Linked DNA regions of Macaca fascicularis. The protein of the gene in region 1 binds, or shares a complex with, the protein of each later gene. Links are inferred from orthologs where the notes say so. Each region holds a gene or a part of one and is shown in the gene's direction. Other genes may lie near its edges.

The links. Proteins that work in one complex are often made in the same cells at the same time.
Region 2: the proteins of UBA3 (region 1) and NAE1 are in contact, whole or in part, in a crystal structure (PDB 3DBR), measured with the Homo sapiens proteins. The link is inferred for Macaca fascicularis from reciprocal best matches to the Homo sapiens genes UBA3 and NAE1. Residues at the interface, in NP_003959.3 of Homo sapiens: Trp34, Glu35, Gly36, Arg37, Trp38, Asn39, His40, Lys43, Phe44, Glu46, Arg47, Ser48, Gly49, Pro50, Phe51, Thr52, Phe56, Glu83, Lys86, Asn87, Leu90, Ser91, Val106, Ser107, Leu109, Asn110, Arg111, Phe113, Leu114, Arg116; in NP_003896.1 of Homo sapiens: Glu10, Gln11, Lys12, Tyr13, Asp14, Arg15, Gln16, Leu17, Arg18, Leu19, Trp20, Asp22, Glu44, Lys47, Asn48, Leu51, Pro52, Gly67, Glu68, Ala70, Gly71, Asn72, Asn73, Phe74, Phe75, Gln77, Arg78, Ile81, Phe92, Glu95.
Region 3: the proteins of UBA3 (region 1) and UBE2M are in contact, whole or in part, in a crystal structure (PDB 2NVU), measured with the Homo sapiens proteins. The link is inferred for Macaca fascicularis from reciprocal best matches to the Homo sapiens genes UBA3 and UBE2M. Residues at the interface, in NP_003959.3 of Homo sapiens: His53, Pro54, Asp55, Glu61, Ser62, Phe65, Cys70, Gln149, Asn152, Asp153, Thr154, Arg157, Gln158, Phe159, His160, Ile170, Arg173, Trp174, Ser181, Leu182, Leu183, Asn184, Pro192, Ile195, Val196, Pro197, Leu214, Met217, Arg254, Met255; in NP_003960.1 of Homo sapiens: Lys3, Leu4, Phe5, Ser6, Leu7, Lys8, Gln9, Gln10, Lys11, Lys12, Glu15, Lys21, Gly22, Ser23, Ser24, Lys25, Lys26, Ala27, Gln31, Leu32, Gln35, Lys36, Ile38, Asn39, Glu40, Phe51, Ser52, Asp53, Pro54, Asp55.

Annotation. Positions count from the first base shown.
Region 1 is NC_088376.1:132,168,099-132,173,031, reverse strand, and holds the start of UBA3 (NEDD8-activating enzyme E1 catalytic subunit), read left to right. Parts: upstream 1-1,781; 5' UTR 1,782-1,791; coding exon 1,792-1,811; intron 1,812-1,989; coding exon 1,990-2,031; intron 2,032-4,225; coding exon 4,226-4,346; intron 4,347-4,933. UniProt on the Homo sapiens protein: Catalytic subunit of the dimeric UBA3-NAE1 E1 enzyme. E1 activates NEDD8 by first adenylating its C-terminal glycine residue with ATP, thereafter linking this residue to the side chain of the catalytic cysteine, yielding a NEDD8-UBA3 thioester and free AMP.
Region 2 is NC_088394.1:62,843,329-62,848,389, reverse strand, and holds the start of NAE1 (NEDD8-activating enzyme E1 regulatory subunit), read left to right. Parts: upstream 1-2,050; 5' UTR 2,051-2,127; coding exon 2,128-2,180; intron 2,181-5,061. UniProt on the Homo sapiens protein: Regulatory subunit of the dimeric UBA3-NAE1 E1 enzyme. E1 activates NEDD8 by first adenylating its C-terminal glycine residue with ATP, thereafter linking this residue to the side chain of the catalytic cysteine, yielding a NEDD8-UBA3 thioester and free AMP.
Region 3 is NC_088393.1:66,290,585-66,295,430, reverse strand, and holds UBE2M (NEDD8-conjugating enzyme Ubc12), read left to right. Parts: upstream 1-1,835; 5' UTR 1,836-2,020; coding exon 2,021-2,129; intron 2,130-3,250; coding exon 3,251-3,345; intron 3,346-3,477; coding exon 3,478-3,516; intron 3,517-3,617; coding exon 3,618-3,721; intron 3,722-4,028; coding exon 4,029-4,092; intron 4,093-4,177; coding exon 4,178-4,318; 3' UTR 4,319-4,703; downstream 4,704-4,846.

The DNA of each region.
Region 1 (4,933 bases):
TCTCTGTTGCTTTCATTCCTGGCAAGGGCAGATGGCTATTTGTAATCCGTCAATCAGTCTAAGCCAGTGAGAGCGCCTGGTGTCATTTATCAAAATACCACCATGGTGAGTCAGGGTGTTAGTCTCAAAGCAAGCAGATGCAGGGCCAATGCCTTTGCAGACTTCTTCATCTGCTAGCTGTATTCTATCCCTAGGCCTCAGATTCCTCCCCTGTGAAATGGGTGAGACTGGACTAGGTGGCCTTAAGGTGCCTGCTGTTTTTCGCCATCTGAGACAGTTGTAATGCTCACTACCACTAATCAAAGGGTATCCAGTATTGTTGGGGGTTCAGACTACAAGAGCCCATTTTGATAAGCACTGAGGTTAAATCCTCAGTGAAACCATCTGTGGAGTTGTCTGGCCAAGAAAAAATGGTTTCATAGTTGATGCTGAGACACGTGATGCAGAAGGAGGCTGGTATCTCTTGATATGGACTGTGAACTCTACTCCCACACTCACTGCCTGGCACTGACTTTCAGCTCAATGAATGCTATTGAACTGAACCTAATTGAGGGACCATAAAGGACAAGCTTTCCTTAAGGTTCACTGAAAACTAGGACAAGAGGAGATTAAATATCACAGTGTAGTAACGGCAGCTACATTTACTGAGTACCCATCAGGCTTTATGTACCCCATTTCAGTGGCTCTCAAACTTTACCAGGGAGAATAACCCCAGGCTTTGCAGAAGGCCAGGGACGGGGGTGGGGAGGAGGGTGGTGGGGGTGGGGGAGGAGGGGGGGCTGAAAATTTGTGTAAAAAAATTCCCCAGTGACGTTGATCAGAAACTGTATTTTCAGAGCCACTCTGGATTTGACTTAATTACCAGTCTCACAAGGTGAATAGTGTTATGCCTACTTTACAAATGAAGAAATAGAAGTGTCTAAGGGTCTCATAGGTCATAACTGCGAAGAATTTAAAATCAGTTACTTTTGATTCCAAATCTCATTCTTGTCCCACTCCATAAAAGGAGATGTGTGTGTATGTATATATATACATTTTTGAACATGATCATTTCCCTCTACCCAGCCATTCAGATTCACAGTGTATATTTGTATTTCTGACTCTAGAAGAAAATAATTGAAACTTTTATTTTTTGATTTTTGTGATTGTTTTCCTTTATACTTTTTTCTTTGTATCTAAATATACACATTTGTCTCAGGAAAAAAGTTTTTAAAAGTCATTTCGTTTCCGCTGAACTTATCAAACAGAATGTGACATGAAAATATTAATGCTGATTTGTACAAAGAAAATAATCTCCCACCCTACCACTGTAAACTGATTTAGATAAATTTATTATTCAAGTGAGTACTTATAAAGGCAAAGACTTTGGAACCATCCTGAAAAGCAGAAAGTGAAAATTTTCCTTGATCTTTGCCCCCGGAGGAAAGCTGTGGCATATTGGGATGGTTCTTCAGGAGTTTTTCATAGAATATACCAATATTTTATATAATTACGTATTAACATATAATTTGTATAAACGCATAATGTGTTATCTACATTTTCACGCTGCAGAGCAACATTATGCACTGTATAAGACTTACCTAATTAAGCGTAGGTAATTAAGATTATAATTACAGGGCAAGGCTTTAAAGCCCACGGGAGATCGACAGCAGTCAGCCTCGCCCCTCCCTGCCGGCTCAGTTCCTGGCCTCGCCCCTCCCCGCTTCGCCGGCCCCGCCCCTCCCCACTTTGCCTGTCCCTCTCCTCCCCGCCCCGCCGCGCGGGGGCACCTGGGAAGAGGCGGAGAACAATATGGCGGATGGCGAGGAGCCGTAAGTACCGGGGCTCTGCAGACGCGCAGGGCTGGGCTGGGTTGTGAGAGCGCGGCGGTGGGCGGTTGCCGCCGCCACCCGGGATCCCCTCACCCCCCGCCCCGTCCCCTCGCCCCCCTCCCCTCGCGGCGCCCAGTGTGTAGCGCGATGCTGACCCTTCTTTTATTCTCTCTTTTAGGGAGAAGAAAAGAAGGAGAATAGAGGAGCTGCTGGCTGAGAAGTTAGTGCTGCCGGGAGGCCGGGGCCCTCTCCGGGGACCCCCGCCTCCCCCCACCCCAGGCCTAGGGGACCAGCCGCAGCGGGCCCGGGGGGCTGGGAGGGGGACACCCGGAGCGCAGGCCGCGCGGCCTCATCCCCTGATCCCCGTCCCGCAACCCCGGGGGCCTGGCGGGCCGCTCCCGGTCTCTGCCCGGTGCGGGCATCGGGGCCAGGCTGCACTGCCCCAGCTCTTGCAGGGGCCCTCCGGGGTGCCTGACGTAAAGATTTTGAGGAAGGACCCTTGTGCACTCCTCTTCCTCCATCCCAAATTGTCAGAGCCGTGACCCTGTGAAAAGGCAATCTACCTTAAACACACAGGAAAAGGGCACAAGACCGTTTTGTGACCTTTTGCAAACACTGAGACAGTAGTACTAATTGCAAACTTTTAATGATAACTCTACATGTCAGATATTGTGCTAACCACTCCAGTCATTTTGGCAAAATAATTGACTCTTAAAAGAGGTTGTTGACCTCAAACAGCCTATTTTTCCCACTTACTACACAACCTGTTTCTTATCAGATGCTTAGTTCTATGCTGGTGAGACAGATTTAATCGAAGTGTTTTCTAACCTGGCCAGCGCCACAAAATTTACTCCCCTCCCTGCCTGGGCGGGGAAAAAATACTCTTGCATTGGTTATGGTGAGTTTGTAATTTCCGTGCCAGTTCCCAGTAGCAGTGCTTTGGTCTTTATGTATGTCCCTCAGATAGTTGAATTTCAGCTGCAAGAGGACTGGAATGACAAACTTAATTTCACATTCTTTCCTGCCTTTTATTTCCCTCCCACTTTTACATGAAATCACAAACATTGCTTACCATATCCCATGTACTGTACTGAGTCTGCTATGTGATTCTCTCTCCTCATGGCCGAAATAAGTAGCTATGAACGGCCTACAGATGAGGTTTATGGCTATGAATAATCTGCTCAAGGTCACAGTGCTGTTGATCGTGGAACCCTACACAGCTCAGACATCAAACCTATGGTTTTTATTGCTAGGCAATACTTCTTGGTCCCTTTTGTAAAAATTGGATATTACTAATATATTTGACGGTAGAAACCGTGGGGTTATAGGAAATTAGAAAATTAAAAATAATCACAGCCAAACGTGAATCTTACACGAATTATAAAATAGATGCATTTTGTAGCGGAGTCCCACCTTATTCTGTTGTACGTTCTAAAAGGTTTCTATCTGCCTATCTATATGCCTATCTGTGGCGTAATTGTAACCTAAAACTTTGTGTTTAGTGGCAAGAAAAGCCGCCTCACAGTATTAAGAGATTATTTAATAAATTAGGACCTCTGCTAGGTGCGGTGGCCTCACGCCTGTAATCCCAGCACTTTGGGAGGCCGAGGTGGACGGATTACTTGAGCTCAGGAGTTCCAGACCAGCTTGGGCAACATGGCAAAACCTGTCTGTACTACAAATACAAAAATTAGCTGGGTATGGTGGCACGTACCTGTAGGCCCAGCTACTTGGGAGGCTGAGAAAAGGAGAATCGCTTGAGCCCAGGCGGGCAAGGCTGCAGTGAGCTGCAATCATGCCACTGCACTCCAGCCTGGGCAACACAGTGAGACTCTGTCTCAAAAAAAAAAGAAAAAGAAAAAGAAAAAATAACCTCTATTTCTGAGAAAAGTGTGTGAAAAGTCCTCGCATCAAAATGATTTTTATATTACACCTTTGGAAAGGACACATAAATACTAAATTTGCATCAGACACATAAGCATCAAAATTCTCAAAGTGTGACTTTTTTTCTCTGTTGTATCTCATATTTCCTAATGCAAGTGTGTTGAAGCAACAGATTGAGGAAGTTTGCAGTGATTTTTTTGTAAATACCAAATGTAGAGAAGTCAATTTCTCACACAGACCAATATCCTAAGTTGGACCTTGGATTTCTTTAGGAAACCAAAAACATGTAGACTGATTTATTTCATCCATTGGGTGAAATAAAAATAGAAACATGCAGTTCTTAACTTTAAGTGAATTGTATAATAGGCAAGAAAAAATTTCAAAGCATAAACATAATCACGTTGAATATTTCCCTTTTTATTTGAGCAGGTCTGGTGTGGTTACCTTTTCATTTGGGAATACCATAATAGTTGTAGGTGTTTTTTTTTTCGTACTGATCTTTGCAGCTGAATTTACTGTGTTCTGTGCAGAATGGCTGTTGATGGTGGGTGTGGGGACACTGGAGACTGGGAAGGTCGCTGGAACCATGTAAAGAAGTTCCTCGAGCGATCTGGACCCTTCACACACCCTGATTTCGAACCGAGCACTGAAGTGAGAAACGTTTATTTTTAAATAACTGCTCTAATAGTTTAATGTTTCAAAACTAATAGAATGCTTCCTTTTTAATTTGCTCTTACAATGAAAATACTAATAAAATTGTTTTGTGAAACTAAATTTTTCTTAAAATATGAAATTGAATATTCACAGCTGATTTTGTTTGAATGACTATTTGAGTCATCACATTTCTCATGTAATATAAGTTGAAAGTTTTCGTGAGAAAAATAACGTTATGACCTCATGTAAAAATTTAAAATTTCAGTTTAAAATGCTTTCTGAAACATACTCCCCTTTTGTAGTGCTACTGTGAGAAATTAATTTTGATAGGAATATAGATGTGCTTATTTAAATTTTGGAATTGAATTGGAATGAACATCTTAGCTTTGAGTATAATTAATTGCATGTTAAGAATTATGTGAGTACTAAATAATAGAGGCATAGAATTTTGGACTGATAGTGTCTTAAGGCAAGTGTTCAGTTATATGTGACTTATTTTTTTATTACAGGGTAGGGAAAAGTACTCTATAGCACATCTTTATGTCCTTTTGTATTTATAAAAAGATAATATTTTGAAATAGAAA
Region 2 (5,061 bases), on another chromosome or scaffold:
CCTTTTGACCTTCCTACTTTCCCGGAGTGTATTTTATTATCCCTTATATTTTACCTGTCCACTTGGAGAAGGAAATGTGACAGCACAAACACATGATGAGCTGGGAAAGCCTCATGCCTCTGTTTCCCATCAGTGTGTTCCATGGGAGCTGGGTAAGGGCAAGGGAAGGTATGGGAGGGTGTACTCTCACCCTTGTTCAGGAGACCGCGCCCACGGGAAAGTGCAATCCATCATCACTACATCATTACCATCAAACTGTGCCACCTCTCTGGTCCCCATCCTAGGGGATTGGGGGTGGGGATCTGTGCTCATGTTCACCTTATTTCAGGCAGTTATTAACCTCAAGTTGCCTGTAGGGTCTGTGAGATAGAGGGGAAGGAGTCTTCATCTCCCTCACAGATGGTCACCTTGTCTTCAGCACCACCACCCCCTCCCAATTGTCCTCATGGGATAACCTCCTTCCTTGGCCTCCCATCCCCACAGGACAGCCATTCTCTTCCTGAAAGGAGGGTCTTTTCAGGAAGTGGAGGACTTTAAATTCCTCCTTGGATCTAGGTTCACAGTCCTTAGAACCCAGCCCGTCCCAACTGTCTCTCAAACCTTCTCAACCACTCCCTATCCTTCTCCTGACCAAACTTACTCTAGCACCTACAGCTCGTTATGCGTTCTTGGCTTCCTAGAGATGGCACCTGCTGTTCTTTATGCTTGAAACATCCTTCCAGCTGCGCATGGTGGCTCATGCCTGTAATTTCAGCACATCGGGAGGCCAAGGTAGGCAGATCGCTTGAGCCCAGGAGTTTGAGACCAGCCTGGGCCATGGCGAAACCCCATCTCTACAAAAAAAGTACCAAAATTAGCTGGGTGTGGTGGTGCATGCCTGTAGTCCCAGCTACTTGGGAGGCTGAAGTGGGAGTATTGCTGCCTGGGAGGTTGAGGCTGCAGCGAATTGAGATCACACCACTGAACTCCAGCCTGAGCAACAGCGCGAGACCCTGTCTCAAACAAAACAAAACAAAACAAAACACTCCTCCATCTCCACACCACATGAAACATTCTTGGAGAGGGGGAGTGGGGAGGTTCTTCTGTGCACCCCTGAGCACCCTGCTTCCCTCTATCTGGAGGAAGGCCACATTGTCTGGTAAGTGCTTGTTTACTGTCTCTCTTCCTTCATGAGACTAAACTCTCCAAGAATAGAGCCCTGGACTTGTCTGCATCTGCAGAAGGGAGCCCCTAGCTTTGATTCAAAATAGGCTTGTAGGCCGGGCGTGGTGGCTCACGCCTGTAATCCCAGCACTTTGGGAGGCCGAGACGGGCGGATCACGAGGTCAGGAGATCGAGACCATCCTGGCTAACACTGTGAAACCCCGTCTTTGCTAAAAATACAAAAAATTAGCCGGGCGTGGTGGCGGGCGCCTGTAGTCCCAGCTACTCGGGAAGCTGAGGCAGGAGAATGGCGTGAACCCGGGAGGCGGAGCTTGCAGTGAGCCGAGATCACGCCACTGCACTCCGGACTGGGAGAGACAGCAAGACTCCGTCTCAAAAACAAAAAAACAAAAAAAAACAAAACAAAAAACCAAAAAAACAAAAAAAACCAAAATAGGCTTGTGGGCTTTTCATGAGAGGAAGAAATGGGTGAAAAATAATGATTATCATAATGAAAGTTTTTATTCATGTAAGATTTGGGGGGAGTCTGGTCTCCTGTATTCAAAATCTTATTTAAGGTCAAAAGACACTTGGGACCCATTTATCCCCACTGCACAGGTGAGCAAACTGAGGATTTGAGAGGTAAAGAGTAGATCTCACAACCAGTTAAGTGGTCAAAATACAAGTATGCCTGATTCCAAGGCCCCAGTTTCCCCCAATTACTGCACGGACAGAGGGCGAACTGGCAAGCTAGCGGGGCTGCTCTTCCGGCCGACGGGGCTCGAGAGCCCCAGACCCTCGGGTACCGAGACCGCCTTCGCCCCGGCGTACCGGCGACGCGTGCGCAGTGCAGTGAGGCGCCCCCTGCAGGCGGCGCGCAGGGGGCGGTAGCGGCTGAGGGGCGCTCAGTGCGCCTGCGCGCTTGTGGAGCTGGTGGCGGCGGTCCGCTGGGGCTCCGCTGTTCTCCGCGCTGCGGGCGCGGCCATGGCGCAGCCGGGGAAGCTGCTCAAGGAGCAGAAGTACGACCGGCAGCTGAGGTGAGCCGAGGCTCACCGAGCCGAGGGTGGGCCGGCGGGCTTCCCAGCGGCCGGGCCGGGCCTAAGGGCGCGGGCGGCGTGGTCGGGCCTCCCTCAGGCCTTCTTCCAGGCTGGGCCGGGCTGTGCGGGGCGCGGGAAGCCGGCGCCCGGGGCTCCCACCCTGGGCCAGAGGTCCTCCGCGAAGGCTGGGACCCTTTCCCCCGCCACGCGGTGTGCGGTTCGGGGGGCCGCGGTCCCCAGCGCCAGCCGGGTCGCTAAGGCGGCTGCCAGCTCCGCCTCGCTGCGCCCGGGCTCCTCGTTTTCCGAATGGGGAGGCCCGGAGCGCACCCCATCCCGGCCGCGAGGGCGGCACAGAGGGTTAGGTTTTGTTCTCAGCCGGGGCTGTCCAATGGAAATAAAATGCTAGTCTCATGTGAGCCGCAAATGTAATTATAAATTTTCTAGTAACCACACTAAAGGTAAAATGAAACAGGTGAAATTGATTTTTAAATACCGTTTAATCCAATATGTCCAAAACATTACTGTTTCAACACTATCAATATAAAAAGTTATTGAGATATTTTACTTAAATTTTTATTTCAAATTTTTTTTTTTTTTTTTTTTTTTTTTGGGTAGAAACGAGGTTTTCGCCACCTTGCCCAAGCTGGTCATGGGTATTTTCCTTTTTAAAACTGCCTTAGAGGACCGGCACAGTGACTCATGCCTGTAATCAGCACTTTGGGAGGCCGAGGCAGGCGGATCACCTGAGGTCAGGAGTTCGATACCAGCCTGGGCAACATGGTGAAACCCTGTTTCTATTTAAAAATTCAAAAATTAGCTGGGCGTGGTGGGGCGCGCCTGTAATCCTAGTTACTCTGGAAGCTGAGGCTGGAGAATCGCTTGAATCCAGGAGGTGTAGGTTTCAGTGAGCCGAGATCGTGCCACTGCACTCCAGCCTGGGTGACAGAGCGAGACTCTGTCAAAAAAAGCCCCCCCAAAACTGTCTTAGAAATACTGTATTTTACACTTAACAGCACATCTCAGTTAACACTAGCCTCGCTGCTTGTGCTCAGTAGTACATGTGGCTAGCAGCTACCTTAATGGACAGTGCAGGCCTAAGTCATCAGAAGGGTCCTTGGGTACTTCCCCACCCTTGCCTTTTCTGCTTGCACTCCCCATTCCTTGTTTATTGAGCGTCTTCTATGTCTTGAGGCTGTGGAGATAAAGCGGCTTGGCTTTCCTCCTTCCTGGAGCCTCTGAGATAACAGAAGTTATATGTCCCCAAGGACTGGAGCTTCTATTTGCGCCACTAGCCTAGTGCTGTATTAGAGGCTTTGGGCACTTAATTCTGAGAGCACCCTTGAAAGCAGCCATTTCCTGTGCCTTACAGTTGGAGAAACTGAGTCTTGGAGAAGTTAGGTAACTTGCCCAGAATTCCCCATATCTTTGAGCCAGGAGGTAAACTCAGGCTCTTCTGGCTTTTTTGGAGGTACTCAGTTACATCCTGCTTCCAGGCTTTTAGGAAAAGAAACAAGGTAACAGTCCTTATAACCAACTTAGGTTTTCTTGTAAATTCTTGGAGTTCTTGTGTTTCTAATGCAGGTATAACTGTGCATGACAGAGCTGAGAAGATAGTTGAGGTTACTAAGCAACTCTAACAAAAGAGGATTTTTGCTGAGGGCATTCCATTTAAGTCCCAAACTTTACCTTTCATTGTGAGAACTGGTTTTGAAGTGTCAAAGGGAAGCAGTTAGAAGCAAAATCCAGCAGTCAATAAGCTCCGCCTGACTTCACCATAGTTGGGCCAGCAAGATAGTAGAGAGGACTGATTCACTTGGCCTCTTCTTGAAGCATGTTACTTAGAGACACACTAGGATTCTTTTTTTTTTTTTTTCTCCAGGGGCAAGGTCTCACTCTTTGACCCAGGCTAGAGTACAATGGCTAGAGTGCAGTGGCAGGAACACTGTTCACTGCAGCCTCAATTTCCTGGGCTCCAATGATCCTCCTGCCTCAGCCTCTTCAGTAGCTGGGACTACAGGCATGTGCCACCATGCTTGGCTAACTTTTTTAGAGATGGGGGTTTGCCCAGGCTGGTCTCGAACCCCTGCACTCAAGTGATCCTCCTGCCTCAGCCTCTCAAAGTGCTAGGATTACAGGCATGAGCCACAGCGCCTGGCCTCAGTATCCTTTTTGTTTTATTTTTGAGGTGGGTCTCAGTATGTTACCCAGGCTGGAGTGCAGTGGCTGTTCGCAGGTCTGATTATTGGCACACCACAGCCTTGATCTCATGGGCTGGAGTGATCCTCCTGCATCAGTCTCCCAAGCAGCTGGGATTACAGACACACACTGTCTCACCCTGCTTGAGATGCACCAGTATTTTTTTTCTTGAAATGGAGTCTCACTCTGTTGCGCAGGCTGGAGTGCAGTGGTGTGGTCTTGGCTCACTGCAATCTCTGCCTCCTGCGTTCATGTGATTCTCATGCCTCAGCCTCCCGAGTAGCTGGGATTACAGGTGCGCGCCACTGCGCCTGTCTAATTTTTGTATATTTAGTAGGCCAGCCTGGTCTCAAACTCCTGACCTCAGGTGATCTGCCTGCCTCGGCCTCCCAAAGTGCTGAGATTACAGGTGCGAGCCACCGCGCCCGGCCAAGATGCACCAGTATTCTTAAATTTACTCTCCAATGATCCAAGCATCTGTCAACCATGTATCTCAGGTGTCTTCTACATGCCATACTTTGATGGAGAAAACAGGCATTTACAGTCCATCTGGTTCTTCTAGACGATTCCTCCATACATTTGACAGCTGTCTGGGCCCTTACGAAGTGGAAAGATGGATGCTCAGCAAACAAAAACAAATGAAGCCAGGTGCAGTAGCTTGTGCCTGTAGTCCCAGCAACTCTAG
Region 3 (4,846 bases), on another chromosome or scaffold:
CTGAGAAGCAAAGACTGCAGGCCCTGGGCCAGTTTCCCTGCCCTGTGCTGATCATTCCCATCACTAGAGCTGAAGACTTCTCCCACCCTGGCCCCGGGCACATTGGAAGGATTCAGTCAGGAGTAGATCCAGCAGCAAACCAGTGGAAACGCAGCTTAGGTGAAAGTGGACAGACGCTGAGAGCGCAAGTTCAGCATACTGCAGGCTTCAGGGCAGCATCTCCAGGACCCAGTGCCATTGACTATTTTGCCCTAGCCATCTTCCCCTTCCATCGCATTGTCCAGGTCCTTCACACAGCCCCTCTCCCCCACCCCTCCAATGGATGACTTGGGTGCAGGTAACACAGGGTGAAAGGCAGTTTCAAAGAAGTGGTCTGTGTGCAGCAGGGTACAGCTTGAGCCTTAAACCCCACTGAAGGTCTCGCTCTGGGCACGTGTCAGGCTAGTCTTGGCCTGGGCATTTCCAGTAACAGAGACTTGAAGTTTGTGTGTCCAAGCTTCTTTCGGGGTGCAGCCGGACTTCCCCCTGCTGCTTCAAGTCACCCTAACCCCCAAGACTAGGGGCCTGGCCTCGGGGGAAGCAGACAAGCCAGCCTTGGCCAGAGGCCACTCCTGGGGGAGGATCTGCAGAATCAGAGGAGTGGCGCCTGGGGCCCTCCGCAGGGAAAGGCCACCACACCACGCGCTCACGGGGCCGGTAGTTTCCGTGGTGACGGCCGGAAGTCGCAGACCCGCAGAGTTCTGTTTCCTCCCGCCCTCCGAGGCACGCTGAGCTGTGATTGGATGGGAAGTTGACCCCGCCTCCATCCCCTTTTCCAGCTAGCAGGGGAAGCGCAGAGACTCCAGTGCGTCTCCGCTGGCACTCGGGGCCCATGCCAATAGCGCCCACGCTCCGCCCGCACGTCACGTTCCCCAAGTGTCCACCCCGACAGGTCTTCCCCTACACCACTGTAACCCTCCATAGTGCTTACCACTCTCTGGCACAATACATGTTTTGTTAGTTTACCTCAATCAGAATCTCCAGGAACGGGGATCTTTGGGTTTGCGATAGGACAGTGAGGGTGCTCGACCTCGCACCCTCTGGGTAACGCCTCTAGTCTCACTCAGGGTCTTGCCGCGATCACCCTGCCTTGTCTGTGACCTATGGGGTCAAAGGCAGGCCGTGTGGGTGGCGGCAGCAGCGGAGACGACCACCCACGCCGCGCTCTGCACATACACAACACAGGATGAAGTGACCGCGAGCAAAGTGGCCCGTGTCTGCCCCACTAAAAGATGGCGGCTAACCCCGCTTCCTGCCCGGCCCCGCGAGAGTCGCCGGAAGTGACCCGCAGGGCCGCCGAAGCGTCATCTCCATGAACGGAAATACCCGAGTCCAGCCGAAGGAGGCCGAACCCCAAACTCCATCGCTGAGCAACGCGGGTTTGCGGCGGCTGCGCAGGCGCACAACGCAGGCCGGGCGGGAAGAGCCAAAGCGGGCAGGCGGCGGAAATATCCGAAGCCGCGGGGCGCCCGAGGCCGTTGCAGACCTCCGCGCTAAAGCCGCTGCTGCCGCGGAAGACGATCCTCCAATACCCACCCGCCGTCACCGCGGCTGCCGCGTCCTCCTTCCACCCCTAGCCGCAGCCCCTTCGCGGAGGGATCAGCTGAGCGGCAAACGGCACGGTCCGGGGAGCCCCGAGTCCGCAGCTGCAGCGGGGCCTGAGACCAGAGTGGGCGAGGGCAAGGAAGGAGCGGCCCGGGGCAGTGGGGGCGGGGCCGGGCAGGCCCGAGAACAGCCGAATTTGGCCGAGAGCTGCCGAGCGAGCCCGAGGCTCTGGGCCAGGCCGGGGCCGGACTACGGGAGCCGAGGCGGGCCGCGCGGTGGGCGCGGAGCGGCGCGGCAGGCCGGGCGGGTGGCGGCAGCAGCGCAGGAGGCCGCAGCGGCGGGTCCGAGGAGCGGAGGCGACGCGGGCGGCGGCGGGGGGCCGGGTGGCCGGGGTCCCGGGCCCCGCGGCGGCGGCAGCGGCGGCGGCGGCGGCAGGATGATCAAGCTGTTCTCGCTGAAGCAGCAGAAGAAGGAGGAGGAGTCGGCGGGCGGCACCAAGGGCAGCAGCAAGAAGGCGTCGGCGGCGCAGCTGCGGATCCAGAAGGGTAGGGGGTCAGGGGATGGGGTTGGAGCTGGAGGTCGGAGGTCAGGGCCTGAGGCAGGGTGATGTTGAGAGTCAGGAGGGGGTAATGCTGTTGCCGAGGGTCAGAGGTGGAGGGCCCCGAGTCGCGGGGGGGGGTCGGAGTTCAGGTCTTGAGGGTTGGGATCATGCAGTCACGGGGCGGGGGTCAGAGATGGGGCCCGGTATGTGGTGGTTTAGGATATTAGGAAGGCCTGGCGTCTGGTACTAGGGACTCGGAATCTCAGAGTCAGGCAGTGGAGTGGAGGAGCTGGGGACTGGAGAGTATGGGGGTTAGACGGGAACTTGGGTTTGGGGTGACAGGCGAAAAAGAGACGGATAGTAGAGGCTAAAGGTTGGGGATATGAGTGGGAGAGGATTTAGTGTATTATGCTGGGGTCTCTGGGAATCTCAGAGTCAAACGGGTAAAGTAAGTTGGAGGATTAGGGACTCGTGGGCCTACCTGAGAGTCACAGCAATTTGGATTTGGGCTTTGGGGTAACAGGTGGAGGAAGGAAGGTTAGTGAGTACCAGGGATTGGAGACAGGGGTGAGGGGAAATTTAGGCTATTGTGCTGTGAACCTCAGAGTCAAAGGAGGTGGGGCAGGGTGGTGGGGGTTGGGGACTTGAGATTGTGGGGGTCAGATGGGAAGCTGGGTCTGAGAGAGAAGAGGAAGGACAGTGAGGACTGAGGGTTGGTGGGGGTGGGCAGGATCTTTGAGTTTGGGTGAACAGGTAGATACTGGAGAGTGGAGGTCATGGATGGGGAGCCTGGAGTTTAGGGCAGTCAGAGGATGTTTGGGAGTGGGGGCATTTGGGAGCTGTGGATACAGAACAGTTGGGGGTTACCCTGGGCCAGGAGTTGAGACACGCATACACAACTAAACATGCATGTTTGGGGTATGATGTGTATCCACAAGAGCCAAGCTAGGGAACAGGGAGAGGGCTGGAGGTGTGGAGCACAGCCCAGGACAGAGGCCTAGGGGTCTAGGAGGAGACCATGGGGGTTCTGCTAACAAACACCTGCCCTAAGTGTCCTGCTGGCTCCCTCTCTCTCTCTCTTCCCCTCCCTCTTTCTGACCCCCACTCTCTGCTGCCCAAACCCAGACATAAACGAGCTGAACCTGCCCAAGACGTGTGATATCAGCTTCTCAGATCCAGACGACCTCCTCAACTTCAAGCTGGTCATCTGTCCTGATGAGGTGAGGGTGCATATGGCTGAATTCCCAGGAGCAGACCAAGGGTGTCCCCACTGAGAGGAGGGAGACATATTCTGCCCATCAGGCCCCACAGGATGGAACCCTAAAATTTTCTTCTCCCCCTTTCCCTCCCAGGGCTTCTACAAGAGTGGGAAGTTTGTGTTCAGTTTTAAGGTGAGTCCCAGGCAGGCAGGGATGGCTCCCTGGACTGAGGAGGCAGCAGCTGAGGCCCTTCCAGGGACCTACCCATCTCTCCTTTCTTTTCCTGGAGCCAGGTGGGCCAGGGGTACCCACATGATCCCCCCAAGGTGAAGTGTGAGACAATGGTCTATCACCCCAACATTGACCTCGAGGGCAACGTCTGCCTCAACATCCTCAGGTGAAGGCACGGGCCCTCTACTGCCCTCCCCAGCCCTGCCTGCCAGGTCCCCCTCATGGTCTTGTGGGCACTACATCAGACTCTGTCCCTTCCCACCCCTTTGTTGTTTGTGATTTCTTCATTTCCCAGTCATCTTCCTCATGGCCTGACCTTGGTTTTCTCCCTGGCCTAGCCTGCTGCACACCCTCCCTCCCAGCCTCTCACATGCTCACTCTCCTATGCCCTGGATCTGACCTGCCCAATACCAGAGGGGCCTCTGGCAGTCTCCCACTCACCAAGCTCTGACCCTGATGCTCTCTGTCCACAGAGAGGACTGGAAGCCAGTCCTTACGATAAACTCCATAATTTATGGCCTGCAGTATCTCTTCTTGGTGAGTAGGAATAGGTGGTTGGGTCTGGGGAGACTGGCCTTCTGTCCCTCTGGCCTGTTGACCCCCCTACCTGTACTGGCCACAGGAGCCCAACCCCGAGGACCCACTGAACAAGGAGGCTGCAGAGGTCCTGCAGAACAACCGGCGGCTGTTTGAGCAGAACGTGCAGCGCTCCATGCGGGGTGGCTACATCGGCTCCACCTACTTCGAGCGCTGCCTGAAATAGGGTTGGCGCATACCCACCCCCGCCACGGCCACAAGCCCTGGCATCCCCTGCAAATATTTATTGGGGGCCATCGGTAGGGGTTTGGGGGGCGGCCCGTGGGGGAATTCCCTGCCTTGGCCTTACCTCCCCTTCCTGCCACTTGCCCCTAGTTATTTTTTTTTTTTTTTTTTTTTACCACCATGTGATTAAGGTCGGCGCTGCCTCCCCCGACCCACTCAGCGATGGGAAATGAATTGGCTTGTCTAGCCCCCCTGCTGGGTGCTTGTTCAGCCCCCACTCTGGGCTGTGGAGTGGGTGGGTAAGGGGCCTGGGTAGCTGGGCCCAGGCAACCCACCCCTCCACCTCTGGAGGTCGCACCAGGCTATTAAAGGGGAATGTTACTGCATGGCCTCTGCTTCTTACTTCTATGGGGTGGGTGGGGCAGCTGAGGTCCATTAGGGCCTGCAAAGCTGGGGTGGTGGAACGTCTGGGCACAGGTGGCATTGCAGCACCCTACAACAGGCTGCCCAGTGCCTGGGGCAGCTCTCG